Oryctolagus cuniculus: one gene and its partners. The protein of the gene in region 2 interacts with the protein of the main gene of each other region in a pairwise test. Links are inferred from orthologs where the notes say so. Each region holds a gene or a part of one and is shown on either strand. Other genes may lie near its edges.

Region 1 (3,500 bases), about 110 Mb from region 2:
CTCCCCAGTCCGAGGTGAGTGGGGGACAGCTGAGAACTGGATACGCCGTGTTACCCGCCACTACTGGGCCCAAACCATTGCTTCTGCCTGCCACTGCCACGAACACAGTAGGGATGCCATCCCCTAGGGAAACCACACGTTTACCATGCCGTTAAACATTCAAAGGAGATTTAATACGTTTTTGTTTTAGAAAGACCTCTAGGCATTAAATTCTTGAGTTCTTCAAGTAGTGTTCTCTGGAGAAAGCATAAATGAGACCCAATTAGGAGACACATGCTCATAATGTAGGTTCACTCTGCCACTGACCATAAGTCAGATAATAAAGTAGCTTGGATATGCTGGGCCATGTTTAAGTTCTAGAATACAAGGGGATGTGAGAGGGTGTCTGGGAGGATGGCTCACAGGCCTCTTCTGCTTTGGCTGCTGGAAACAAAGGGTGTCAACAACTGAAAAGGGATCTTTTCCACGGAGCAGTCCTGCAATCAAAAGGGGGCCAGGGACACCCGCTTAGCAGTGACTGAAGGTTCAGGTGCGCTTCATGGAAAAAAGAATTGAAGGCAAGTTTAATAATATATTATCCTTGGAGTTGGCACTGTGGCAAAGCAGGTAAAGCCACCGCCTGCAGTGCCAGCATCCCCTATGGGCACTAGAGTCCCGGCTGCTCCAGGTCTGATCCAGCTCTCTGCTGTGGCCTGGGAAAGCAGTAGAACACAGCCCAAGTCCTTGGGCCCCTGCACCACCTGGGAGACCTGGAAGAAACTCCTGGCTCCTGGCTTCGGACTGGGGCAATTCTGTCCGTTGCAGCCATTTGGAGAGTGAATCAGCAGATGGAAAACTTCTCTCTTTCTGCCTTTGCCTCTTCCCCTCTTCCTTTCCAATAAATAAATAAATCTTAAAAAAAAAAAAAATTATCTAGGGCTGGGCACTGATGACCCAATGAGAGCTGGTTCGAGTCCCAGCGGCTCCACTTCCGATACGCTCCCTGCTAACACACCCAGGAAAGCAGTAGAAGATGCCCTGAGTATCTGTGTCCCTGCCACCTGCATGGAGTTCTGAGCTCCTGGCTTCGGTCTGGCCCAGCCCTGGCACTGATGGGCATTTTGGGAAGTGAACCAGCCAGTGAAAACTCTCTCACTCGCTGTCTATAATTCCTCATTTCAAACAAATCCTTTTTAAGACGCTCTATTTGAAACATATTAAACTGTAAACATACATGCTTGACTCAATCATTTCATTCTTTAATGAACTTATTAAAAGTATCCCTTTCCTAAAGCAGAGATTTGTAACCTAGAATCCAAAGTTGAGTTTCTTGGTCAAAGAGTTCTAGGTTCATCAGCTCACCAAGGGGTCTGAGACCTCCTCCTGCCTGCCACCTCCCTCAAATTAACAAGTGCATTTCCACAGCAATTACCTGTAGAAGGAACAGCCAACCACTGTTTTTTTCAGTTGAGATACATTTGGGTTGTAAATCCAGGTCTCTATTTTAGATTAATGCTATCCCATCATGTACTATGTACTGCAATATTTCTTAACGTTGTGTTTGACTGCTTCCCAGGAAGGGCAGCTCATTCCCAGAGAGCTCTCCTATTCCAACTCTGGGACTCTCGTGATGGACAGCAGCCATCATACGTTGGCGCACATTAGAAAGAATGCTTGGGGTGTCTTCAGCAGGTGAAGACCTCAGAAGTTCTCACACTTTTACTGTCTACCTTTCAGCCTACAGTTGCAATTCTTCCCCCTGCTCCTTTCTTTTACAAGCTCCTGAAGTACTTTAAGCTCTTTGGAGAGGAGTACCACACAAGCCTAGCATGGCACATGATGGTCCCTTGGAGCTGTGGGAAAGCTCTCTTTCAGGGTCATGAAGTCCAAGGAGCACCCAGAGGGCGCTAATTCTCTGAAGTTACCTTCATACTCAGCTTTAATCCTCAGGGTTTCATCTGGTCCTTTATGGGCAGATGTTACACGGAGTTCACATGGGATTCCAAAAGCTTCACAAGCCTTCTTGATTTTTGCACAGTGACCGAGATCAGAAGTTGAGCCCATCAAGACTACGACCCTACACTCACTTTCTGATTTCAGAAGCAACTGGAAAAGAAAACCACAGAAAGAAAAAAGAAAATAAAAACAAACATGAGTACCATAAGAACAGTTGATTTACAGAGGTACAGTCTGCAATAAAATTACATGTGTGCAGAATATTTTCTTAGACCAAATTTAAGATAAAAAAACCAAATGATAGAGGCTTAAATTTTTAAAAATAAACTCTCTATATTAAGGAAAGTGGTCTTCATAATCAAGACATAAACAGGGGACCAAGACCAGGTTCTGTTGCTGCTTACAATGCTGGCATTGCACACTGGAACACCAGCTCCAGTCCTGGCTATTTCGCTTTCAATCCAGCTTCCTGCTACTGTGCCTGGGAGGGCCGTGGAAGATGGTCCAAACCCTTGGGCCCCTGCTACTCATGTGGGAGACCAAGATTGACTTTGATCGAGGGAGTAAAACCAGCATATGGAAGATCTCTGTCTCTGTTGCTTTGCCTTTCACATAAATCTTGCCCCCCCATCAGACTTTTAGTCAGATAAATTATGTTTATTAATAAAAATAATACATACTCAAATCTTTTTTAATTAATAGTCAGGAAACTACAGCAAACTATTTCATTCTAAGTTTTAGGGCATTCTGTTTAACGGTGGTTCTTAAGGTATAACAGGCCAAATTTAGAAATCATGCTATAAATCTTTTCCAGTGGGTTGCCCAGAGCTCAAAGTGTCTATTCTCATGTAATTAATGTTCTGAAAGGTGAGTATGAGCCTTGGATAACCACAAATCCCATTCAGCTTCTATGGAATTATAGTACAAATACCATACGCATTAAAGCAGTGTTTTAAAAAGCTACATGAAGTTCTATCCACCCCGAGGTCAAAACCCTGAGCAGTGAGGGGAGAAGCAAGCAGGAAATGTAAAGTTTCTTCTACCAGGGCGGGCAGGCATGGACAGGCCAACTCGACAGCAGAAGTGCCAGTGTACAGGCTGCCCACTCCCTGTAGGGGCCTCTCTCCTGCAGAGTCGCTGACAGAGAAGCACTGCGTGTGTCCACACCTTGTGTGAAACAGGATTTTCTCAGAGGAGAACACAATACAGTACAGGTTTACTGTGAAGGTTTACCTCCACTCTCTCTGCAACCCACTCGAAGTTCTTCTTTACCATCTGGAGCCCTTCAGGAGTCACTTCTTTGAGGTCACGGTAAGACTAGAAAGTAAGACAAGGTTTAGAAAACAAGTGTCTTCCGCTGTCGGAAGCTACCTGGTTTCTGGGTTTGGGGCAGGGATCATGAAGGGTCTGCCCTGCAAGTGATGTATCTAAAAATGTATCTACAAATTCATTTCCACAATTAGACAAAGCTCAGCTGCAAAACAATTTTACTTTCACATAAGATGAAATGCTTTCTGCACTAGCAAACATGATTGCCTGCCCTGGAGATCTTAAGTATAGAGAGG
Region 2 (4,085 bases):
CGTGGCTGGACACAGGCCTGAACACAGCCAGTGGCACATTTTGTCCCCTGTGGTTTTTCCCCTTGTGTTTTTCGCAAAGCTGAAAGAAATCCCACCATGGGTGGCCTGGGCTGGGGGCAGTGGAGAAAAGGGTTTCCAGCTTGGACTGGACTTGTGAAAAGGCCAGGCGGTGGAGGATCCGGCCCAGGGCGGGCCAGGAGAATGGAGCTGGGCAGAGACGGGGACACCACTCACAGCTCCCGTCCCACCGGCAGCTCTCTGCAGATGCCCGCTGCTCCACCCCGCAGGGTTATAGCTGAGCCTCCCTTGGGGCTGTGGTCCCCTCGGTGACGTCCTGCCCGGTGCCAGTGCCAGCACACTGTCAGGGAAAGGCCTGGGCGGCGGCCACTGCTGAGCCGGGGGCCACACAGCAGCAGCCCCCTCGTGTCCTCCCCACACAGACATTTGGGCAGGAAAGGCAGGTGGCAACACCTGTTTACTCAGCAAGGGATGCCCTCCTGGTCCCCTGGGAGCCCCAAGTGCCCGCAGAGGCCAGGGCGGGGCCTTCATGGGGGTGCACACAGAACAACGAGACTCCAGGATGCTCCCGCGTCCCCCTCCCCAACCCGGGGGGGAGACGCATCGTGTGCCCTTGGCGGCAGGGCCCTGGACCTCTGGACCCTTTGCTTGGTGAAGGCACTGTCCCTTCTGATGCACTGTGGTAGCCTGCTCCCCGCAGGCCCCGAGACCCAGAGCAGCCTCTGCTGCCGATGCAGCACGAGCCCAGATTGCTGGCTTCCGCGTCCCTCGGGGAGGGCACCTATCTGTTCAGTGGGACAGCAGAACAGTCCAGCAACCTCTGGAGGAGCTGGCCCTGCAGGCCTGCATCCCCCACCTTCCACCACGCGTAGTTCTCACCCCGAATCTTCGGGGGCTCCTCCTGGATGCCCGGGTTGCGAAAAGCCACCGCCAGCAGCACGTTCAGGCAGATGCCGTCGGCATGGTCCTTGCCCAGGTGCTGCAACCCCAGCAGCCCCTTGGTCTCCACGGCCAAACTGTGCAGGGTCAGGCACTCCTGGAGCAGCCGCAGCACGGCCACCTTCAGGCCGCCCCTCTGCTCCATAGGGGCGAAGTCACAGGCCGTGACGGGCAAGTGAGGCGCCCCCACCGTGCCCACCAGCACCCATACCGTCTGGGCACCGGTGAAGGTGGCCACGAGCCGCTGGCACACCACACTGCAGGGCAGCTCCTGGGGCAGAACGGGAGGGTGCCTGGCCTGCTGGCGGTACCGGGCGGCCAGCTCTATCAGGTGCAGGATGTCCTGGGCTCGAAGAGGAGTGGCCAGGGAGCTGCGTGGGTACCAGCCAGCCTGCAGGGACTCCGCATCAGCCTCCTGTGAGGTTTTCAGCGTCCCACCTAGGGGAGAGTGGGGGCAGGAGCAGTGGTGTGGGTGGGAAGAAGCACCGGATCTCACAGAGGACACAGACCCGGCAGGCCACCCTGGTTCTAACCCCGAGCGGGGCCGGGGCCGGGGCTGAGCCTCCCCCACTCCCACCTCCCCAGGCTAGGGTCTGCCAGTGCCAGAGCTGTAGCAGTCAGCACAGGGCTGGCTAGGGAGTGGGCTCATCTCACCGGAAGACCACAGGGTGGGGGTGGAGGAGTCGGAGGAAGGCGGCTACGGCACTGCCCCAGGAGAGCCATACCTGTGGGACGAGCCAGGAACACAAAACGGATCCAGGAGGGGCCTCGCTCCTCCACGGCAAGCAGGGTCTCGGGCTCACACTGCAGCCCCGCCTCCTCCTTCACCTCCCGCTGCAGGGCCTCCACGATGGTCTCCCCGGGCTCCATCCTCCCCGCCGGCAGGTACCACGACCCCCGGCACTCTCTCTTGGCCTCCTGGATCAGGAGCACCTCGTCCTGAGGGGAGAGGGGATTGGCACTCTCCACCACGCACGGGAGAGGCCAGCCAGCCAGGCCCTTCCCTGCCCTGGGGTTGCCCAAGACCCCCTCCCTGGGGGCGGGGGGCCTGCAGCCAGCTGCTCTCTGTGGGTCAAGATCGGGCTGCGCGTGTGTCTCCACTGTGTCACTGTGTGTCTCCCGCGTCCCCATGGGGTGCACAGCCTAGTGGCAGGTCCTCACTCTGGGGTCTGGGTTCTGATCCCCCCCCAACACCCCCATGCAGGCCCACCTGGGGCTCTGGCCCCTTCTGATTCTTATCTCACAGCCTACAACAGGGACCCAGAGCAGCGACAAGGGGTCAGATCTGAGCGTGAGCCTGCCTTGTGCCATAACCAGGCGGGGGTGGGGGTGGGGGGGCGCAGGCCACGCCTCAGACGTCCCGGGGAGCCAGCTCACACCGTGCTAGGCCCTGGGGGAGGGGAGCTCTGTGCTGCAGGAACCGAGGGCCAGGGCGCAGCCCTCTGTGCACCCGGCCACCCACAGGGCTGCGAGGCGCGCGTGAGTGAGTGCTTTGCAGAACTGGGGAACGCCACGCGCGAGGCGGCGCCGGCCCTGGCCGTTGTGTCTTCGTGCCCAGCAGGGCCCGGCGGGCTCGCTCACCTGCTCGTTGAGGAACACGGCCAGCACCACGTAGGAGACGTTGGTCCGCAGCCGCGCTCGCGGCTGCCCGGCCGGCCCCGAGTCACAGCTGTGCACGCGCAGCCCCCGGCCCTCCAGCACGGCCGCCAGCGCCCCCGCCAGGTCCTCCGAGGCCATCGGGCCCCGGCGGGCGGTGGCCCGGGCCCCGCGCAGCGGCCAGGCGGGGCTGCGGCCGAGCGTGCGGCCCGGCCCGCGCCGGCGAGCTGCCCAACGCGGAAGCGCCCGGCGAGCCCTGGCCGCTGATAGGCTGCGTGGCGCCGCGGCCCGCCCGGATTGGCCCGCGCCGGCCGCCCGGGGCGGGGCCAGCCCGTCAGGGGGCCTAACGCCCTGTGGGGCCGAGCGGACCTCCGGCCCGGCTCCTGCCCCAGGGTCAGCGCGCTGTCTCTCTCTCTCTGTCTCTTTCTGTCTCTCTCTCGCCGCGGCTCCCCGAGCGCATACTTGTTTACGCAGGTTCCGATGGTGACGCCATCTGGCCCGCAGGGTGCGGGGCGCCGCGGCGGTGACGTCACAGGCCCGATGACGTCACGGCGGCCAGGGTGTCCGCCCCGGGACCCGCGGCCCCCGCCTTTTGTCTTAACCCGCCAGGGCATTGTCTGAGATGATGACGACCTAAGTAACTTTCTTCTGACTTCGCTGACACGTACTGGATGTCCCGCCGAGGGCTGGGGTTCGGGAACGCGAGGTTCTGATCCATAATAAAAAGTCGGTTGAGGGTGACAGCCTAAATGCTAAGTGATCACGATCGGGGCGGGCCGGACGCGGGGAGGGGACAGGGCTGGGCACTGGGGGCTGCCCTTAGCGTCCTCCTGTCCACGGCGTGTCCTGCGCAGGGCGCTGCAGCGTGGCCAGCTCCCGCTCGCTCGGCTCAGCCTGACCTTTCCTCCTCGCCGCCAGCTGGGAGGAATCCGAAGAGCCAGCCAAGTCTGGGCTCCTCACCCACACAGGCCTCCCCCACCGGCCCCTCCTCCCTCCGCCTTCGGGGGTTGGGGACAGTAGCTGGCTGATGAGAGCAAAGCCACCCACCCGCCCTGCTGACCGGCCGGCTCTGCGCTCCTTGGGGATGTGGTGGGCTTCCGATTAGGTTCCTGGCAGCTTTTCTTGGCCAGGGTGGATGGCAAGGCAGGCTATTCGAGAGGAGCCGTGTGGGCCCCGGGCAGCCCCGGAGCCTGCAGGCTGGGCTACGCCGCAAAGGCCCACCCTCCTGGCTTGTGCCTGAGAACAGGTTCCACTGGGGAGCCGTAGACCCTTCTCGCGGTGGGGGACTGGCTGCACGCTTGCTGCAGACAGAGCCCTGTGCAGGGCCACACGGGCACCCCCTAAGCTTTTGAGGCACTTGCCCTGTCCAACACCTCTCAACCAGCTCCCTGGGGCTGGGTGCAGTACCCCAGGACAACAGATTGGCTCCGTGCGTGTGTGATCCTCAGTTTTCCCACCTGTGAAGTGGGGGCAGTACTGCTGCCAGACTCCCTTCTGCCTCCAGGGATGACTGAACGAGAGAGTGAGATCAT
Region 3 (4,158 bases), on a different chromosome or scaffold from region 2:
TAAGGTAGTGAGCCTCAAGGTATACTCTATCAAAAGTCACCTAAGGTTGGTTGTAAAATGCAGATCCCTGTGCTCCATCTGAGACAATCTCTGGAAGCTATAGAAAAATTCTATACACACACACTGCCGAAGAACCACTGCTCCAGGGGGTATTTTATGAAAATCAGCCTGAAGAAACTGAAATAAAATATTCCCATCCCCCAATCTTTAGCAACTGCAAAGCACTCATCTTACCCGTGGGGCTTTGCAAAGCTCTTTTTCCCAGCCACAAGCAGCTCACAATGTGCACCCAATGTCCATTCTAATTTTTTAAGTAAAAATTCATTCTGTGGAGTGCCAGGAATGATGACTGGTGGGTAAAAATGTTAATCCCATTCTTCGCCCCACTCTTACCCTCTACCCCGGCCCCGTGCATGGAAGAATTATGCCGGGCAAGCCTTTTCACACAGTGCACGGTTAAATACTAGAACTGTATGTCAATTGCTGTCAATCAACATCACTACCAAACGGCGATTTTCTATAGCACATTTAGCCCCTGCCAAGTTCCACCCTTTCGAGCTAATGTTCTGCTTGAAATATTTTCTGGAACTTATGTCTGTAATGCCTCATGTACAAATTATGATTTTTACGGGTCATCGCGTGGGGAGACCCGAGTGGCCTCGAAGAGCTTACATCTCCCAAACGAGACGAGCCTAGCGAATGAATAACGGCCAGCCATGGCTGTGAATCTCAACCTTGGGCAGCTTCTCGCGTGCCGAGATGCCTGACCACACAGATAGGCCTTACAAATAACCCAAATTCCAAGGCAAGGTCGAATCAGGGGACAGAGTCAAAATCTCCCAGCTCCCAAGAAAGCCCTTTGCGGCATACATCAGGCCAAGTCAGCGGACCCACCCACGAGAAAAGAGGAAAGCAAGAAGGGAGCCGGGCACCTCCACACCCAGACACAAGACCTCTGTCCATCACGTCCCTGACCCCGGGCCCACTGCTCTGCTACAGAGAAACTGAGGGCACCCCTGCACTCACCCCGCAGCCACTGCGTGCTGTGCAGCCATCTCCAACTAGCCCCGCGGCCGACAGAGCACCTAGCAGCCCCCTTAACCAGACCCAAGCTTCGCTGGCCACCGAAGCCCAGAAGGTATCGCAGCAGCGCCGGGTCACAGCCCAGCCTCCAGGAGGCCGCCATCTTTCCCGGCCTTCTCCCGGGCTGCCCACAGCACAGCCTGATCGCCCAGTCCCAAGGCCCTCCCTGGCCCCACCTTCCATCTGGCAGGCCACGCCCCTAAGACGCCAGCCGGACCTATAGGGCTCGGACACTGCAGAGACTTCCGGGAACCGCCTCCAACCTCGTTGGCCACGCCTCCCTGTCGGGCAGCGGCTTCGCAGGATTCCCCCAGCCAGCGAGGCCCTTCCAGGCCCCGCCCCACCGGGTTGCCCTCAGCGCCGCCTGATTGCACTTGCAGCCTCGCCGCACTAGCCCAAGCGGGGCGCCGAGAGAACGCAAAGTCCTGCGAAGACGAGAGGCCGAGGATCATCCTAGTCCAAGTCATGTCTGGTCGCCTTGCTCCGGAGGGAGACTGTTGCTCCCGGCGCTGTGGCGCGCAGGTAGGGGCGGGGCCGCGGCTGTCCGGCTCTTGGGAGGAGGCGAGGCGCTGCGGGGCGCGGGCCCGGCGCGGGGGCGCGGGCGGGCGCGGGCGGGCGCGGGCGGGGCTTCTGTCATTGCCAGTCGCGCGGCCGGCGGCGGGAGCTGGGGGCTGAACCCTGAAGAAGGGCGGGTAACGGAGTGAGGAGAGTGTTTGGGCGACTGGAAGATAGTCACACACGGGTGTAGGCAGGCCCCCAAAGTAAACCTCGTTGAAATACCAGCATCGAAGTGACCCTTCATGAAGGGACCCACGGATAAAGTAGGAGTCTCAACCCAGTCGTAAGCCTGACAGTTTGACAGACGTGTTTTGGTTCCACGCGTGTTCATGAAAGATTTGAACCAACAGTTGGAAATCGGGACCAATTTCAGCCTCGCTTAGAACTTGGCCAGTCATGGCGGTGCTGGGCCTTGGCCATTGTGGGATCTGGATGGAGCTGAGTGGCGAGCACCACCTTTCCTGGCCGCTGCTTCCACTACTCAGAGACTTGCATGTGCGCTGAGGTGCACTGGGCCCCCGACCTCTGTGTCCGCTTGGTTTACACAAGTACATTTAATCGAATCGGAGCAGCAATTAGAGAAGTGTTAACACCCTGTCAGTGTAGTGTTAGGGTATCTGGAGACGATTGAGAGAGACGGTCTCATTGGCCTTAAGGGAAGTCTTCAATTGTAAGTACTGAACTTAGTACGCACGTTCAGTGTTTCCTATGAACCTAGCATTGTAGGTTTTACACAGTGCAAGCCACATCTGGTTCCTTCCCTCACAGGGCATTCTGTGTAGTGGGGGATAGAAAATAGGAACAGAGATAAGGACAGTATGACTGGGACATACTGTGATGAGAAAGTTTAGGATACTGTATGGGGCACAGACTTGAGATGAAAGAACGCCTCTGGAGAAAATGAGGCCTCAACTAAGGCCTAAAGGAAGACATAGTCCCATGAAATGCAAAGGAAGGGTTCCAAGTAGAGAAATGGCATGTATAATTCTTAGTGACAGGGATAGACTAAGTCTTCATTGTCAAGAGAACTTTTTTTTTTTTGACAGGCAGAGTGGACAGTGAGAGAGAGAGACAGAAAGGTCTTCCTTTGCCGTTGGTTCACCCTCCAATGGCCGCTGCGGCCAGCGCGCTGCGGCCGGCGCACCACGCTGATCCGATGGCAGGAGCCAGGAGCCAGGCGCTTTTCCTGGTCTCCCATGGGGTGCAGGGCCCAAGCACCTGGGCCATCCTCCACTGCACTCCTTGGCCACAGCAGAGGGCTGGCCTGGAAGAGGGGCAACTGGGACAGAATCCGGCGCCCCAACCGGGACTAGAACCCGGTGTGCCGGCGCCGCTAGGCGGAGGATTAGCCTAGTGAGCCGCGGCGCCGGCTGTCAAGAGAACTTTGATGTTCCTCTCAAGAGAATGTAAAGTAGGGAGAAAGGACTTGGGAAGAGATAGGCCGAAGAGGAACACCAGAACCAGACGTGTGTGGCCTGATAAGCCAATCTGAGAACACAGGCTTGTATGCTAAGGGCAGTGGGATGCTCCAGAAGATGGCTAAAGAAAGCACAAAATGCTGACTCGAGGTGAAGCTGAAGGGATGGGAGACAAGATGGGAGACAAAAGAGAAAGCTTGGCAAGGGATGGCAGTTTCGGGAGTGTGGGAGGTAGGCAGTGAAATCAAGACAGTGTAGTTTGTTGATTAGATGTATTATATTTGAGGAAAGCAGGAACCAAGAGTGATTTCTAGGTTTCTAGTGGAGTAACTGGGGCTTGGTGATCCCCAAGAAAGAACACAGGAGGGAGAAGTGGTTTGTGATGAGCCTTGCCTTTTGAGGTCCATGGCTCGGTGTGTGGTCTTATAAACTGGGCAGTTGCATTTATGATTCTCAAGCTCAGAAGAGAGAGCGTCATTAAAGAGTTGCAAGGTGGAGCAGGCAGTTGACACAACGGGTAAGATGCTGCTTGGGATGTCTGGGTTGGACACCCAGCTCCACTCCCAATCCCAGCTTCCTGCTAAGGTGTACTGTGAGAAGCAAGCAGGTGATGGCTCAAGGGGTTGGGTCCCTGCTACCCATGTAGACAACCTGGCTTGGTGTCTGGCCAGGTCTCAGCTGTTGTGGGCATTTGGGAAGTGGACCAACAGGTAGTATACACCTATGTGTGTGTGTCCGTGGGTGTGCACATGCACCTGCCATTCAAATAAATTTAAAAAAGGAAAACATACTTGGAAGCCTTCACCAAAACCTTCCTTCTAAAAACTTGTGTGTTTATTGTTTTTCCTTTGATAAACATTCTCCTCTTAAACCGTATTTAATTACTTTCCTTCTTCTGTAGTCCTTTCAGTAATGTTATTTTATCATCCTGTGCTCTAATTTCCCCGAGTGATTTGTGTTTCAGCAACTTTCTTCTGGTACTCTACAAAGATTCTTCAGGCACTGGTGTATTATTTTCAGGTCAAACTGAACTCATAACAGTAATCTGTACACAGATTTCATGGTTCTGAAATTAAATCCCCAGTGATTTACTTCAGGC
Region 4 (3,500 bases), on a different chromosome or scaffold from region 2:
GAGCCGAAGGCAGCCCAGGCCTGGGCTCCCCGGGCTGTGCCGCAGCGTACCTCAAACAGACTGGCCGTCAGCTCCTCCAGCTCCCGCTCCAGCTGCTCCCGCACCTTGGATAGCCGCTCGCACTCCTCGTCCTTCAGCCTCAGCTCCTGGGGACACAGGGTAGGGGCTGGGAGCTCCGGGGAAGGGCAGACGGCACCCGACCGGGCTGCTTCCTCTGGACATCATATGTGGAGCTCTGGGCCTGAGCTCACTTCTTCAGGTGTGAGTTTATGGTCCATTTTTAGCTCACAGTGAAAGGCTGGAACCTGCCCATCAATCCATCGCAGGTTAGAGGGGTCTTAGAATAGGCAAGGCTCGTGAACACCATTTAAAAGGTAAGGAGTGAATGTCTGACCTAGGGGCTAAGACCCCACATCGCACATAAGAAGGCCTGGGTTCCGCTCCCGGCTCTGGCTCCTGACTCTGGCTTCCTGCTGATGTGCACCTGGGGAGGCAGTGATGACGGCTCAGGTGATTGGATTCCTGCCACCCACAGGAGACCTGGATGAGTTCCCGCCTCCTGGCTTTGGCCCTGGCCTGAGGGCCAGGGCAGGCGTTTGGGGAGCTCTCTTTGTCTCTCAAATAAATTTTTAAAAATGTTCAATAAAAGACGTAAGAAGAATCGCTCTCTGCCTTGTGCCCCCTGCGTGCCTGGCCCGGGCCTCGGATGCAGCACACGACCCCTCTCCCTGGGGCATCTCTGGGCGTCCCCAGGCTGCGTCCACCCGCCCAGGGCCGGCTCTGCGCGGCCTCAGGCCTCACCTTCTGGGCTTTGTGCAGCTCCTCCTTCAGGAACTCCGAGCCCTTCTCGCGGATCTCCATGGAGGAGCTGCGCAGCCGTGACATGTCCAGCCGGGCAGCTGCAGGGCCCTCCTCACCCTGGGCCTCCTCCCTCACGCAGGCCTCCACCAGGGCTCCTGGGGCCTCCCTGTGGCTTTTGCAGGGGCCTGCACTGTTCCAGGGGACAGGGACAACTGGGAGGGGCGATGGGAGGCCCTCGTCTGGCTGGGGCGAGCTGCAAGGCAAACAGAGGCATCAGCAGGTGCAGGATGGGGTCCTGAGACCTGGAGGGCCAGCCCTGGGCAGCACACCTCCCACCTGGGCCTCAGTCTCTCCATCTCTGACATGGGGCCGGCTATCACCAGGGTTGTCACTGAGGCAGAGTGGCCACGTGTGAGGTCAGGGCTCCCGCATCTCCGTCAACCACCCCCTCCAGCCCTGCACCTAGATCTGTGCCTGACACACAGCAGGTGGTCAACACACAGCCATCACACAACTCATTTTTGCTGAACAGGTGAGTGTACAGTTTGAGAAATCCAGGGGCTGGCGTTTTGGCGCAGTGGGTTAAAGGCGGCTTGCAATGCAGGCATCCCAAATCGGAGCGCTGGTTCAAATCCTGGCTGCTCTGCCTCCAATCCAGCTTCCTGTGAAAGCGCCTGGGGAGGTAGCAGAAGATGGCCCAAATACTTGGGTCCCTGCCACCTATGTGCGAGACCCGACTAGAGTTCCAGGCTCCTGGCTTCTGCCTCCACCAGCCATCTGAGGAGTGAATCAACAGATGGAAGATCTCTCTCCGTCACTTTGCTTTTCAAATAAATAAACAAATCTTAAAAAAAAAAAAAAAAAAAGAGCTTGAAGGCCGGCACCGCCGCTCACTAGGCTAATCCTCCACCTGCGGCGCCGGCACACCGGGTTCTAGTCCCGGTCGGGGCGCCGGATTCTGTCCCGGTTGCTCTTCCAGGCCAGCTCTCTGCTGTGGCCAGGGAGTGCAGTGGAGGATGGCCCAGGTCCTTGGGCCCTGCACCCGCATGGGAATCCAGGATGAAGCACCTGGTTCCTGGCTTCGGATCGGCGCAGCACACTGGCCACAACACGCCGGCTGTAGCGGCCACTTGCGGGGTGAACCAACGGAAAAAGGAAGATCTTTCTCTCTGTCTCTCTCTCTCTCTCACTGTCTAACTCTGCCTGTCCAAAATAAATAAATAAATAAATAAATAAATAAATAAAATATGTTATCTCAAAAACTGAAAAAAAGAAAGGGAAGGGGAGGGAGGGTTATGGGAAGGAGGGAGGGAGGAAGGAAAGACCATTATATTTTTAGAACCGTATCTACAAACTATACTGAATCTGTTAAAAACTAATTACAATTTTTTTTTAAAAAATGAACAACGAGAAAAACAAAAGAGCTTGAGAACTGGAGTCCCTGTTTCACCAAGTGGGAGCCTCCCACCCAGTGATGGTGAATCCCAGGGATGGGGGTGGGGGGTGTGGGTGAGATCTGAGCCCTCGGAGTCGCTCCAGTGAGAGCTGCCTTCATTGGCATAGTCACCACGATGCGGTTCCTGCAAATGTTGGTGGGAAGTAGTTCATGGAAAGTCTGCCCCTTCCCGTGCACAGCGGAGCGGAGGGGCAGGCCAGAGCTGCAGGGCTGGGGCAGGAAGGTCCTGCAGAGCCCTGGCAAGGCAGACCCCCCTCCTGTGCTTTGCAGGGAGCAGTCGCGGCACCACCCCCACCTCTGGACTCCTGGCCTGCCTGGCAGCCTCCTGCAGGCACCCCTTTTCCTGGGTCTGGGGCCCTCCTTCCTGAAGCTGAAGCGGAAGACCCTGGAGGCAGCGTGGGGCCTCTGTCCTCGCTCTGCCCCCATGCGCACGCCCTGCTTCCACAGACCCTGGAAAGGGAAGGGGGGAGGGCTTGGTGGTTTGTGCCAAGACAGCACCTCTGGACTTGCTTGCTCAGCAGAAAGTCCCGGCTCCTGAGCCAGCAGCTTCTGACCGCTGGGGCAGGGCCGGGGTGGGGGGCTGGGCCAGGGCGCTGATAACCAAGGGGAAGTTGCGGAAGGAGACAAGAGGAGAAACAGGGCCAAGCGAAAGGTGAGACTGAGGAGCGCTGAGGGGTAAGGGTGAAAGGCAAGTCTGGGGGCCAGCACCCTGTTCTCGGGACTCTGGGAGGCCCCCAAGCAGCTCCCAAGCCTCAGTTTCCCTCTTGATAACACAAAGGGACCCAGCAGCCAGCAAGTGCAGCAGTGAGCCTGTTCCCAGCCCTTCGCCAGGCCCTGTCCAGCTGCCCAGCTCAGCCTGCCCTGGGCTCTGAAACTGCCCATTGTACAGCCTGAAGCTCCTGGGGCCGGGTCTGTCTGGCGGGGAGTTGGACTTGAGGACGAAGCTGGGTACACTGATTGCCACTCCCTCCCACAACAGGGTCTGTGGGACAGGGAGGCCCCCAAGACCCTTCCCTGGGTGGGTTACGGGAGTCTTGTTGGCCAGGGCTCCCCGACACTCCCAAGAGTCTTAGCCCCCATGGGCTGGGGCCTGTACCCAGGGGACCCACCCTGTTCCATGCCCTACCCAGGGTGCCCGACACCCTGCTCCACTGAACAACACTCTCTCAACGGCATTGATGGCATTGCCCCCGCTCTACAGAGGGGGCCCAGAGAGGGCCTGGAGTCACACAGCGCTGGCTTG
Region 5 (4,137 bases), on a different chromosome or scaffold from region 2:
ACCCAGGTCCAGCCGGCCGCAGCCCCCACGGACCCCAGGACCCCGGAGGGTGGCAGCCGGGGGTCTCCCCACACCTGCACCGGCTGGGTCTGAGCTGTGCACAGGGTGGACCTGCCTGCCTCCCGGCTCCCAGCCGCCAGCAACCACAGGGCTCCCAGCAGGGGGCTCTGCAAAGCCCACCCTGACCCCCAAGGCCCATCCCCCGGCCATGCCCACACGCACTTGAGCCCGTCCTCCTCCCGCATGGCCTTGGTGCTGAAGTTGGTGTGGCAGCCGGCGCCGTTCCAGTTCCCAGGGATGGGCTTGGGGTCAAAGGTCGCTATCACGCCGAAGTCCTCACAGACGCGGTGCAGGATGAACCGGGCCACCCAGAGGTGATCTCCCATGTGGATGCCCTCGCAAGGCCCGATCTGGAACTCCCACTGGGAGCGCAAGAGGCCGCTGTCAGAGGGGCAGGCGCCCCGCCGCCCTGGACTCCGCCCCGCCCTTGGGTTTGGGGCCCTTGAGCCTCCGTGTGCCCACTGCTGCTCCGGCAGTCACCTGGGCAGGCATGACCTCGGCGTTGGTCCCCGCAATCTTGATGCCGGCATAGAGGCAGGCCCGGTAGTGCGCCTCCACGATGTCCCTGCCGTAGGCCCGGTCGGCCCCCACGCCGCAGTAGTAGGGGCCTGCAGAGGCCAGAGGGCAGGGCTCAGCAGCCAGGGCTTCCCTGCCGCCGTCCCAGGCGAGCACTGGGGCGGGGCGGGCGCGAGGGGCTCACCTTGGGGCCCAGGGAAGCCGTTGGAAGGCCACCCGAAGGGGTGTCCGTCGGTGCCCATGAGCGTGTACTCCTGCTCCATGCCGAACCACGGGCGCTGGCTGCTCACCATGTCCATGATCCGCTTGCAGCTGTGCCGCAGGTTGCTCTCTGCGGAGCGGCAGGGTCAGGGGCCGCCGGGCCAACCTCCCACAACCTCCTGCCCACGCCCCGCAAGTCAGAACGGGAGCAGCCATACAGCAGCACCTGCGGGGCGACCCTGAAGGACCTGGGCCGCAGGCGAACTCACGACACCAGGCCCCGGGGCGCAAGCTCCATCGGGACAGGCGAGGGAGCCAGGCACCGGGCCGCCCCGCCCTCCCCTCCCTCCCCGGGCTCCTGGAGCCCACGGCTGACCGAGGCGCTCGCCCTGGGCAGCAGGGCGCTGCTGGTGCAGGAAGACCCAGGTCAGGTGACCTCAGCTGGAAACAGCGTCCCCATTAGCAAGGCTTTCACAGACTTAACTGTGCCCAGGAACCCGTGCAACCTTTGTGTCGCCCAGAAGCGCTCGGCCAAGCCCTCACCACAACCCTGGCCCGTGGCCGTCTCGGCACTGGAGCTCTGCCTCCCCGGGGCACCGAGGCCTGGGGACCCCGCAGCCTCACTGGCGGGAGCAAGAGGCTGCACAGGAAAAAGGGGGGCGGAGCTGCACGCGAGGAGCGGCGGGGGCCCAGAGGACGGCAGCACAGCACGGCCCCCAGCAGGCCTGACGGCGTGTGCCGGCTCACGTCTTCTAAGGACGCGGTCGTCACCGTCCCTACCGCAAGATGAGGAGACGCTTCGGGAGCTCACTGCCCACCAGGGGCAGCCCAGGACTCAGGCCCCCCCCCCTCCCCAGTGCACAGGCAGAAGAATGCAACGCCCTCAGCAGGCAGGCCCAGCCACGGCCCAGCCACGGCCCAGCCACGGCAGCTCCTCTCCAGAGCAAGCCGGCGCGCAGCCACGGACGCTCAAGCCCCAGAACCCAAGGCGGCTCCAGGACCACCACCTCTTCGCAGGTCAGGCCCGGGGCTCCCACCCGCCCCACACACCTGCCGGCTTCCGGTTGTACTTGAAGACCTCGCAGAACACCAGCTTGTTGGGGTCCTTGCGGAAGGGGTCGCGGAACATGGCGGCGGGGACCAGATACATGTCGCTGTTGGAGCCTTCCGACTGGAAGGTGCTCGAGCCGTCAAAGTTCCACTCGGGCAGCTCTGGCGGGACAGACGGAAAATTCCGTGAGGCCTCATGCAGGCAGGCAGCCAGTCCCCCTCCCGGCCCCACAGCGGGGTCCCGTCCCGGAGGGGCACAAGGCTGCTTCCCCTGCGTACCCTGGTGGCTGCCTCCCAGCAAGACCACCGAGGCACTGTCAGGCATTGTCTCATGAAGACAAGTCACAGAAACCGCCCCAGGGACCTGTCACCCCCTCCCCCCAGAAGTCCCCTGTGCACCGGGAGGCACATGCTAGACCTCTGAAGTCACACCCCACCCCCACCCCCGGGCAGGCGGCTCGGGACCCGCCCACAGCATGTTCCCAGGTTATGCAGACCTGTTCCTGGCGCCCCCGGGCTCCTCGGCCGCCTGCAGGCAGTGCACAACTCCGTGTCCTGGGCACCCCCTGGGGGCCCTTCCCACGGGGCCACGACCACGCAGGAGCCCCCCGGGAACAGGTGCATGGGCACTGCCTGACGGGGACTCTCAGCATGGCCACGCCCCCTACCCCTGCAAAGCTTTTAAATCTTTTTTTTTCCTTTTAAACACCCTGGTTCTGGCTCAGGCCTCCTCTCAAACACAGGGTCCCTTTGTTGCCGAGCCCCGCAGGGGCCGCCGTGGCGGGGGCGGCCTCCTGGCCGACTCACCTTCCACGCACTTGGGCTCGCAGTCCAGCGTCCGTGTCTTGCAGCGCAGCCCCTCCCCCGTGCCGTCGATCCAGATGTACATGGCCTGCACCTTCTCGCCCTGCGGCAGGCCCATGTACACCTGCTTGATGCCCTTGTTCAGGTGGGAGCTTGCCGAGGTGGCCATGGTGGATGGCGTTCTGGGGAGAGCGAAGCAACACGACACCGTGGGCGAGCCTGCACCAGCCGGGGCCGCCCCTCCCTCCCAAGCAACACGCCCAGCCCGCAGGAGGAAGCCGGCGGCGCACCGGCCCCAGAGACGGATCTGGTCACCAGGCCCCGACTCACACGCAGCCCAGGCCCGGAGTCCCAGCCCCACTCCTGCTGCTAGCTCAGGGGGTGGCGGCCTGGGCCCCGGGACCGAGCTGGGATCTGCTCCCTCGGGGCCTGCTTCCCCCTTTTCGTACTCCACGCGAGAGCTCAGAAGCCGAGGCTGCCGCCCTGGAGGAGACCCCCACCCTCGGACAGGAGGCGGAGGGCGGGAGGCCCCCCCAAACCACAGTTCTAGCAACTACAGGCCGTGACCCCAAATCCCCACCGCAGGGAAAACAGACGCCGCTTCCCGGGCGGGGCCGGCGGCTGCGCTGGGCGGGGCCCACCCGGGCTCGAGTCCCCCGGCCCCAGGCCCTGGGCCCGCCTTGCTCCAGGCGCTCACCCGAGCCGCGGCAGGTCCGGCCATGGCAGGTGCGGCGCGGCGCGGAGCCCCCCCGCCCGGACCCCCCGCTCGCGCCCCGCCGGCTCCGTGTCGTGCTGGTCCAGGCACCGGAGCTTCCGCGGCGACGGCGCCGGGGACGCAAGGCGCTCGCTCCAAGGGCCCGAGGTCTTGACCTTGGCGCGCGCCCTCTCCCCAGAGTTCACCGAGTAGGCCACGAAGCCGAAGCAGTTGGAGGGGGAATCGGAGGAGCGCGAGGCGCCGTCGTCCTCATCTTCGTCCGCGGCTTTCGGGGCCGCCTTGCGGCTGGGGCCCCCCCGCTTCCCGCCCCCGGGGGAGCAGCGCGACTCCACCTTGCGCGCCCCGCGCCCTGCGCGCCTCGTCTCGGCCCCGGCCCGGCGGACGCGGCGCGGGCCGGGGGCGCGGCCGCATTGTTGGGTCACCCGGCGGCACGGGGACCCTGCGGGCCAGGCGGCGCCCACCCGCGCACTCACCTGGACGGCGGGGACGGCGGGAGCGGTGGGAGCGGCGGGGTCGGACGGCGCAGGCCGGCGCGCAACGGCGGCGGCGCTCTGCTCCGGTCCTGGCTCCCGGGGCCCCGCGGCCCGCGCTTTATCTGCGGCCCGACCGCCCGGGCCCGCCCCGGCCCGCCCCGCGCCCTGATTGGCTCCGCGGCCGAGGACGACCCGCAAGGCGCCGGGGGGAGGGGAGCGAAGATGGCGACTTCGGCGCGGGGCGGGGCCGGCGGGATGTGCGGGCCGCGTGGGGCTCCGGCGAGCAGGGCTCCGAGGGGCGCCCCCTGCCGGCGACGG
Region 6 (3,989 bases), on a different chromosome or scaffold from region 2:
GCAATACCCCTTTTTACTTAACAAAACTTACATGAAAGACCACATCACAAAGGGAGAACTTGACAAAATTTACCTGCTCCTTAAATTACATACCTATTCTTCCATAGCATCCAGAAGGAAGAGCTATCTGAATGTCCGTTTTCACAATGGCTTTCTCCATAGGTGGTACTGTATAATCATAAGCACTAAGAAGATATCGAAAGAAAAGAACTGGTATTTACTTACAATTGTTTTTACATTTTCTTTCCTTGTGACCAAGCACAGAAATGCTTTAAATATATTTCATAAAATAATTCATACAATCTTCTTTTATCTTGCTATGATGAATTTCAAATTCTTTTTTTAAAAAGTTTATAAAGCAGAAATTTTCCTTTTGCATATTACTAAATTGACGATAGCTTAGATATAATTCTCTGTGAATTTATTTTAGTGGAGAGAAGAGATGTCAACATTGTAAATGTCTTCACCCCTGAACAAAATGCCACTGGGAGACTTGACAACTACTTCATAAAAATTCAAGAGATTTTACAATGAGAAGTGGAAGTTACTTTGGAGACTTCAATTAAATCTGTTAAGGTATTACTATATTTAATATATAGATTATATTGAAATTTCCTCTTTAAATAGCTAAGCCCTGATTTACTAAAGGGTTAGGTTATTTCCACGACAATTGTAGTATCCAGAAGGTCATTTATATTCATTAGGTGGATGCTTAAAGTATTTTAAATCAGTCTCCCATAGGACTCACAACAGTGCCCAGATATACACTTGGGAAGGATCCAGTCAAACGATTATCACTCTACTTTTATCCATTAAAATTAAGAGACTACACTACACCGCTTTGGGCTATGGCAGCCTACCCATCCCACTTCTCTTTTCCATTCCTCTCTCTGGTACTGCCATCATGCACTCCTCTCTCCCCTTCTCCTGTACTCAGAGCACAAATTCTCACATCTGATTACTTGGAATGCCCTAAAAATGAATCCAAATGCTTGGAATTTAATCACAGAACACCACCTCCCTCCCACCATCCCTTTTCAACTATGAACCAAGCACAGTCAAAAACAAACAAAAACCCACTAAATTCAGGGTAAAAAAAAAATTCTATGACATTCGAGCCCTGGGGCAGATAAATTCACATCTTCATATACTCCTTTATCTGCAAAAAGGAACACTCATCTAATTCAAGATTCTCGTGAGGATATAAAATAGTATAAGGGAAAGCTTTTAGTACAGGCCAAGGGGCTGAACGAATGAAAGGGTGTGCCTGGTGTCCCTGCTTCTCATAGTCGGGTCCTTACTGAGGTGGATGCATATAGAAGCAAGCCTTGCAGGCAGGTAGCAGCAGCATTCATTCACCTCCTGAGAGGGGTTCTCAGCGTACGAGAAGCCAGTCTCCCACCTAGGCTTTCCTTTCTAATGCGCACCGTGTCAGCCTCAGGCCACGCTCTGAGGGCCAACACCGACCCTTTTCATCTCCATCTTCCACTGGATAAGGGCATAACCAGTGCCCAAATAAAAACCCACCCGGGTAGACACATCATACGTGTCCTTATTTACCATGCTACACGCTGCAGCCAAATCCCTATGGATTCCCCGCTAAAGCCAAAAATTAACGTTTTGCAACATAGAAATGTCGGTCGGTTTATTTTGGTCACTTTTTCGGCGAATGTTTCCAGTTAAATGCAAGCTGACTCGACTTCGCGCGCTCTGCACCACCTCTGAGGCGGTAGTAGAGAGAGCGGGGACACATGGTGCGGCCCTTCCCAGCTTTCTTCCCGGGCCGGCACCCACCTGTACAGGTCGTAGCCCGCGGCCCGCGCAGACCCCCGGGTCGGGGCCGTAGCGTGCTCCGAAAGGCGGGAAAAGCGCAGCCGCATGGTACCCTCCTCCGCAGCCCGGGCCCGCTTGCTGGGCGAGATGGCCGGTGCCTCTTCAGAGCAGGGCATGGCAGCGTGACGGCGCAAGCGATAGCAGAAGCGGGAAGAGATGGGGGAGGGGACAACAGAGCGCAGAATGAGCCCAGCCCCGGGGACCACCACAATCTCTTTAAAAGCTTCCCGCCAGTTCTCCCCCGCCCCGCCCCACCTCCCGGACGAGCCCACAGCTCCGGCGGAGAGGGGTGGAGAGGTTCAAATTTTAGGCTGGGAGGCCGTCTCTCTGACCAGGTTTGGGTTTGGAAACGATGGAGCCTCTTAAAACTTCACGAACTCAAATCATGGCCCCAGACCTATGGAGATGGCTTCCGCCGTGTCGTCCGCAAGAGACCGACAACGACCCCTACCCTCCCACCTAGAGATGGAATGGACTCGCTCTCGTGCGTAATTAGGCCCAGCGTTTTCCCCCTCCCCCTACTGGCACACGCCAGGGGCTTTCCTCCCTGGTCGCGCGCAGTGCCCTCCCTGGCCCCTGGCAGGGGCGGTGCAGCGGCCCCCAGCCTCCCCACGCCTTAGAAAGCGAGCACTTGCAGCCCGGCCCCGGCTTTACTGGCTCCGCTGCAGCCTCGGCTCCGGCGGGTAGCGCTGGACAGCAGCCGACGCTGCGTGGCGGGGCCGAGGGGCGGGCCAGGCCCGGAGAGTCCTGCGCGCTCAGGTCGCAGCCGAGCGCGCCATGCGTCCGTAAACCCCGCGCTGAGCAAAGACGGAAGGAAACGGTAGCGGGCCGCGGGCCGCCGAACAAGGGCAGTCATTTCCTCAGAGGTTTGCGCTGGTTGGTGGTCGGCGCCCGCGGACGCGCGCCAGGCCGTGCGCCCTAAACGCGTCCCGGGCTCGTGACCTCGGAAGTAGTAACCGCCTCTGAAGAGAGGCGGCGCGTAGGTTGCCTGGAGCAGGCGCAGGCCCCCGGGGGGCCCCCGAATCCGGCCCTCGGTGTCTCCAGTCCCGGTGCCGCCTCCCGCCCTCGCCCCTCGCCGTGTTCTCGCGCCGTCGGAGGCTGGGACAGGGGGCCCTGCTCCTCGGCTGCTTACCCGGGGCGGCGGCGGCGCCCGTGGCCATGGCTCCCAGGGCTCTGATCCCTGGGGCGCTCACTGCGCATCACAGTGCCCGCGGCGGTCCCTGCGCCCCGGACCGCTGCCGAGGCTGAGCGCGAGGCTGCGCGCCCGAGTTCCTGGCAGTTCCGAGGGCGCAGGACGCTTGTAAAGGAGGGAGGGTGAGAGCTGTCCGCAAGGGTAGCGGCGTCGAACTCTTGGCATTGAGGTTCCGCCTGACCCAGCAGAAGCGCAGAGCGGGAGTCCCGTGTCCGGGTTTCGAACACAGATCCTGGGCCACGGTGGTTTACCTTACAGTGGGGTGAATACAGAAGTGTCTAGATCATTGTAAAGCCACTTCCCTGGGATCCACACGTCCCTGGTTATCTCCAGAACGGACTGCAAAATCATGCACTTTACTTTTCAAAATAAGTAGGCGCTCCAGGGCATGCTGCTATTTTTTTATTTTTTTGATACCATAAATTTTCTGAATTAGAATAGTTGAGAATTGAAGTCTCTTACCCTTTCTCCTTCCCATCTGCCATATAAGGATGTTCTCAGCAGTTAATATTTACTTCATCATGACTCCATCAATATCATTTTTGCCAAGACAAGTAATAATATTATTTCATTTTTTTATATCTGTCCCCCTCAAGTTAATACCTTGTTTTTCCTTGTCTTTTTGTTGGTGGTGTACTTAATTTACCTACATAGCATCAAATGAAGCATCTAAATACATCAAATACCTGCAAGTTCTATTTCCCCTTAGAACCTTTCTCCAGCCTCCAGTCCTCCCTCTTCTATTTTTTTTTTCTCTAGTCTGTACTAGTGGCTGTAAGTCCTGCTGAATAGCTGTCATCCAGGCACTTCATTCCCTTTACCTCTCTTGTACTAGAGCCTTGTTTTTATGGCTTAGTATCTTCCTCTTAGTTTACTCCCTTGTTTTGCTGAAGTACTTTCTCTAGTAATTTCCTGCAAAAGTGCAGGGGAAATAAATTGAGCCCTTCTAAAATGTTATGATTGT
Region 7 (3,730 bases), on a different chromosome or scaffold from region 2:
ACAGGAGACCGGGGGGCCGCGTGCCAGTGACGTCACAGGAGACCGGGGGGCCGCGTACCAGTGACGTCACAGGAGACCCTGCGGCTGTGTGCTGAGTGACGTCACAGGAGACCTGGGGGGCTGCGTGCCAGTGACGTCACAGGAGACCCGGGGGGCCACGTGCCATGACGTTACAGGAGACCCTGGGGGCCGTGTGCCAGTGACGTCACAGGAGACCCCGGGGGTACATGCCTGTGACATCACAGGAGACCCTGGGGGCCCTGTGCTGAGTGACGTCACAGGAGACTGGGGGGCCCCATGCCAGTGACGTCACAGGAGACCCGGGGGACCGTGTGCCAGTGATGTCACAGGAGACCCTGGGGCCGTGTGCCAGTGACATCACAGGAGACCCGGGGGGCCGCGTGCCAGTGACATCACAGGAGACCCTGGGGGCCGCGTGCCAAGTGATGTCACAGGAGACCCGGGGGCCCTGTGCTGAGTGACGTCACAGGAGACCTGGGGGCCGCGTGCTGTGTGACAGCGTCACAGCTTTATTTCAGGAAGCCACCCCCGACATGGGGCACGTGCTGGCGGTGGGCAGTGGGCAAGGGTGGGCGCCCGGCTGGGGGCCTCGCTGACGCCTCACACGGGCTCCAGGGGCTCCATGTGCAGCTCCTCCGCGTCCACAGCCTCCACCTTGTGGAAGGCGGCGTGGGAGCCGATGACCACCAGGGTGGCCCCTGAGGGAAACGGGCGGCTCAGGGCGGGTCCCCTGGCCCGGCCCCGCCGCCACCCCGCCACCCCGGCCCGGCACTCACCCAGCACCCAGAAGACAGCGGAGCCGGCCCCAGCCAGCCAGAAGAAGGGGAAGGAGACGCCTCCGGCCAGGGCGTACTGATGGGCTGGGCTCACCTCACGGCCTGCGGGCAGACGGCATGGGCAGCTGCCTCCACCCGGCCCCCCAAAGCGGCCCCTGCCCCCTGCCCGGCCCCCAGCGTCCCCACCGCCTCCCTCAGCTCCCAGCTCAGCTTCCAACGGCGAGTCTCAGCCGGTGGAGGACACAAATGGACAGAACCTCACACGGCCGAGACGCCACCTGCAGCCTGGCGAGGCCAGGGTGTGGCTGGGCTTCCTCAGGGACCCCTCCCCGCTCTGCCAACCCCAGCCCCCCTGCCCTTGGCTCCCTGATCCCGACCACCCCCTGGCTGCCCCCCAACCTGCCAGTTCTGCTCGGTAGCAGGAGGCACGGCCTGGACTCCCCTCCCCAAGCAGCCCCAAGACCTCCCCGGTCCCACCCCGGGGCGCAGACAGGTGGGGAGGGCCAGGCCGGTGCAAGGGCGCCACCTGGTGTCCCGTGTGGGGACGTGCAGCGATGCTTCCCGCAGAGGCGGGGAGGGCGCGGCGGCTGGGGCAGGGCTGGGGCTTAGCCAGGGGGTGAGCGAGGGCGACGCGGGGGCTGAGGCTGGGACACCAGCTGTGTCAGGCCTGCGGGAATCCCGAGAGCCAGGCTCGGGTGAGGCCCCAGGGACGGGGACTTGGGGGCCGAGGTCTGCGAGCCGAGAGGCCAGGAGGTGACTTCTCACCGAAGAGCACGAGCTTGGACTGCAACGTGCGCAGATACAGGATGTAGCAGGCGCCGAAGAAGACGGCCAGGGCCACCAGCAGCATGGGCGACGTCACCCTGGAGGAGGAGGGCAGGGAGGCGGAGGTCAGGAGGTCAGGGCCCGGGCCCGGCCGCAGCGGGCGGAGGCCAGGGCGCCCTGGGCGTGGGGCGGGCCGGCTCACACGCAGTACAGGATGAGGCCCAGGAACACGAACACGTAGTTGCTCTGGTAGTACTCCACATTGCGGACCAGGCGCTGGCACAGCTCGCCCAGGTTGCGGGGCCGCGAGAAACGCCGCTGGTCCACGAAGGCGCCCCACGGCCGGATGGTCGCCCGGCGCCGCTCCAGCCACTCGCGGCCGGCGCCGGACGGAATGAGCTTCGGCAGCAGGGTCCTGGAGGGCGGGGGGGGGGGGCAGCGGTGAGCCGGGACCCCCGACCCCTCCCAGACACCAGCGGAGGGGGGAGGGGAGGGCCGGCGCCTGGGCCCTGGGGCGGGCCGGGGCGGGGCAGGGAGGGGCTTCCCCTGGATCCCGGGGGAGGAAGGGGCCGGGGGACCGGACTCGCGTCCTAGAAAGACGTTTCGGTGTCCGGGGGCCAGGACCCCCGCGACTCGAGGGGAGAGGAGGCCGGGGCCGGCACCCCCGGGTTACAGCGGGCTCGCTCACGTGGCGCTCAGCCCTTCGGCCTCGGCCTCCTTCTGCTGGTCCTTCGGGGCCGCCATGTCTACGTTGTGAAGGGCAGAACCGCTGTAACTGGCCCCGGGCCCTGCAGACCCCTCGGGCCCCGCCGGTGCCAGGCCTCACCCAGCGGCGCGGACGTGGCTCCGCGTCGGCGCCGCTGGGGGAGGAGCTCTGCTCCCCGAGCATTGTGGGAGTTGTAGTCCCGACGGGCGACTGGGCGCCATGACGGCAGTCTGGCTCGCAGGGCATTGTGGGAGTTGTGGTCTCTCTGGGCATTGTGGGAGTTGTAGTTTCAGGAGTGGGAGGTGGGGAGTTAAGTGTTGTGTATTCTCCCTCGGAGGGTCCAGTGGGGACCGTGCGGGGCTGTCGTCCTGACTCTAGAAGGCATAAAAATGTACCCTGGCGGGCTTGATTAAACACTGAATCCTAGGCCTCGGGCCCAAATGTTCCGACTCAGCCAGTCTGGACTGCAGGCCATGAAATCCGCCTTTGTATCAAGTCCCCCGCGGGCCGCATACCGAGCCCCAGGGTTGCAGGGAATTTGTGGGCGTCCGTTCCGTCCTCGAGAGGTGGGGAGCGGGCCCCTCCCAGGGATCCCGGGGTGAGTAGGGTAACACTCGCGACAGCCACGAGGGGTTGAGGAGAGGGTTGAGAATTTTACTTTATGTTTTACATTTATTTCAGAGAGAGACACACACACACAACTCCCATCCACTCAACCCAGGTCTCCCACACGGGACCCAGGAGCCCGATCATCTCCCAGGGCCCCAGAACCCGAACCAGACCCAGTCACTCCGAGGTGGGACACAGGTGCCTTAACCACTAGGCTAATGGCCCTCTCCCCTAAGAGAACTTGTTGTTCTTGTTGCTATTTAGTATTTTATTTACTTACAGAGTTACAGAGAGAGAGAGAGAGAGAGAGAGATCATCCGTCCACTTGTTCACTCCCACATGGCCACAACGGCCAGAGCTGTGCCGATCCAAAGCCAGGAGCCAGGAGCTTCCTCTGGGTCTCCCACGTGGGTGCAGGGGCCCAAGCAGTTGAGCCATCCTCTGCTGCCTTCCCAGGCCACAGCAGAGAGCTGGGTCAGAAGAGGAGCAGCCAGGACTTGAACCAGCACCCGTAGGGGATGCCGACATCACAGGTAGAGGCTTAGCCCACCATGCCACAGCGCTGGCCCCTAAACAGAAGTGTGTGTGTGTGTGTGTGTGTGTGTGTGTGTTTAAAGGAGCTGTCAGCTCCAGCATTGTGGCACAGCAGGTTAAGCCACCGCCTGTGACGCTAGCATCCCATATGGGCAATGGTTTGAGTCCCAACTGCTCCACTTCCCATCCAGCTCCCTGTCAATATGCTTAGGAAAACAGTGGAAGAGGCCTCAAGGAGCCGGCGCTGTGGCGTAGCGGGTAAAGTCTCCACCTGCACTGCCGGCATCCCATATGGGCGCCAGTTCGAGACCTGGCTGCT

The links.
Region 1: the proteins of NUDT18 (region 2) and PAICS interact in binary tests that used the Homo sapiens proteins (3 or more experiments, as listed by UniProt). The two-hybrid records come from large-scale screens. The link is inferred for Oryctolagus cuniculus from reciprocal best matches to the Homo sapiens genes NUDT18 and PAICS.
Region 3: the proteins of NUDT18 (region 2) and APIP interact in binary tests that used the Homo sapiens proteins (3 or more experiments, as listed by UniProt). The two-hybrid records come from large-scale screens. The link is inferred for Oryctolagus cuniculus from reciprocal best matches to the Homo sapiens genes NUDT18 and APIP.
Region 4: the proteins of NUDT18 (region 2) and RAB3IL1 interact in binary tests that used the Homo sapiens proteins (3 or more experiments, as listed by UniProt). The two-hybrid records come from large-scale screens. The link is inferred for Oryctolagus cuniculus from reciprocal best matches to the Homo sapiens genes NUDT18 and RAB3IL1.
Region 5: the proteins of NUDT18 (region 2) and GLUL interact in a two-hybrid assay, tested with the Homo sapiens proteins (2 studies listed by BioGRID and IntAct). The two-hybrid records come from large-scale screens. The link is inferred for Oryctolagus cuniculus from reciprocal best matches to the Homo sapiens genes NUDT18 and GLUL.
Region 6: the proteins of NUDT18 (region 2) and DUT interact in binary tests that used the Homo sapiens proteins (3 or more experiments, as listed by UniProt). The two-hybrid records come from large-scale screens. The link is inferred for Oryctolagus cuniculus from reciprocal best matches to the Homo sapiens genes NUDT18 and DUT.
Region 7: the proteins of NUDT18 (region 2) and RABAC1 interact in binary tests that used the Homo sapiens proteins (3 or more experiments, as listed by UniProt). The two-hybrid records come from large-scale screens. The link is inferred for Oryctolagus cuniculus from reciprocal best matches to the Homo sapiens genes NUDT18 and RABAC1.

The regions. Positions count from the first base shown.
Region 1 is NC_091439.1:108,079,519-108,083,018, forward strand, and holds part of PAICS (bifunctional phosphoribosylaminoimidazole carboxylase/phosphoribosylaminoimidazole succinocarboxamide synthetase), read right to left. Parts: intron 3,253-3,500; coding exon 3,169-3,252; intron 2,086-3,168; coding exon 1,905-2,085; intron 124-1,904; coding exon 1-123. UniProt on the Homo sapiens protein: Bifunctional phosphoribosylaminoimidazole carboxylase and phosphoribosylaminoimidazole succinocarboxamide synthetase catalyzing two reactions of the de novo purine biosynthetic pathway.
Region 2 is NC_091439.1:1,194,098-1,198,182, reverse strand, and holds NUDT18 (8-oxo-dGDP phosphatase NUDT18), read right to left. Parts: upstream 2,801-4,085; 5' UTR 2,695-2,800; coding exon 2,539-2,694; intron 1,897-2,538; coding exon 1,683-1,896; intron 1,396-1,682; coding exon 800-1,395; 3' UTR 457-799; downstream 1-456. UniProt on the Homo sapiens protein: Mediates the hydrolysis of oxidized nucleoside diphosphate derivatives. Hydrolyzes 8-oxo-7,8-dihydroguanine (8-oxo-Gua)-containing deoxyribo- and ribonucleoside diphosphates to the monophosphates. Hydrolyzes 8-oxo-dGDP and 8-oxo-GDP with the same efficiencies.
Region 3 is NC_091432.1:31,094,414-31,098,571, forward strand, and holds the start of APIP (methylthioribulose-1-phosphate dehydratase), read left to right. Parts: upstream 1-1,358; 5' UTR 1,359-1,548; coding exon 1,549-1,605; intron 1,606-4,158. Other genes in the region: PDHX (pyruvate dehydrogenase protein X component, mitochondrial), read right to left, coding at 1,027-1,186. UniProt on the Homo sapiens protein: Catalyzes the dehydration of methylthioribulose-1-phosphate (MTRu-1-P) into 2,3-diketo-5-methylthiopentyl-1-phosphate (DK-MTP-1-P).
Region 4 is NC_091432.1:10,259,713-10,263,212, reverse strand, and holds part of RAB3IL1 (guanine nucleotide exchange factor for Rab-3A), read right to left. Parts: intron 1,055-3,500; coding exon 802-1,054; intron 147-801; coding exon 51-146; intron 1-50. UniProt on the Homo sapiens protein: Guanine nucleotide exchange factor (GEF) which may activate RAB3A, a GTPase that regulates synaptic vesicle exocytosis. Promotes the exchange of GDP to GTP, converting inactive GDP-bound Rab proteins into their active GTP-bound form.
Region 5 is NC_091444.1:796,938-801,074, forward strand, and holds the start of GLUL (glutamine synthetase), read right to left. Parts: upstream 2,801-4,137; coding exon 2,635-2,800; intron 1,990-2,634; coding exon 1,828-1,989; intron 908-1,827; coding exon 761-907; intron 669-760; coding exon 541-668; intron 423-540; coding exon 223-422; intron 1-222. UniProt on the Homo sapiens protein: Glutamine synthetase that catalyzes the ATP-dependent conversion of glutamate and ammonia to glutamine.
Region 6 is NC_091443.1:71,080,680-71,084,668, reverse strand, and holds the start of DUT (deoxyuridine 5'-triphosphate nucleotidohydrolase, mitochondrial), read right to left. Parts: upstream 2,801-3,989; 5' UTR 2,690-2,800; coding exon 2,488-2,689; intron 1,934-2,487; coding exon 1,795-1,933; intron 186-1,794; coding exon 94-185; intron 1-93. UniProt on the Homo sapiens protein: Catalyzes the cleavage of 2'-deoxyuridine 5'-triphosphate (dUTP) into 2'-deoxyuridine 5'-monophosphate (dUMP) and inorganic pyrophosphate and through its action efficiently prevents uracil misincorporation into DNA and at the same time provides dUMP, the substrate for de novo thymidylate biosynthesis.
Region 7 is NC_091449.1:12,583,810-12,587,539, forward strand, and holds RABAC1 (prenylated Rab acceptor protein 1), read right to left. Parts: upstream 2,448-3,730; 5' UTR 2,307-2,447; coding exon 2,251-2,306; intron 1,978-2,250; coding exon 1,765-1,977; intron 1,661-1,764; coding exon 1,563-1,660; intron 900-1,562; coding exon 798-899; intron 720-797; coding exon 622-719; 3' UTR 501-621; downstream 1-500. UniProt on the Homo sapiens protein: General Rab protein regulator required for vesicle formation from the Golgi complex. May control vesicle docking and fusion by mediating the action of Rab GTPases to the SNARE complexes.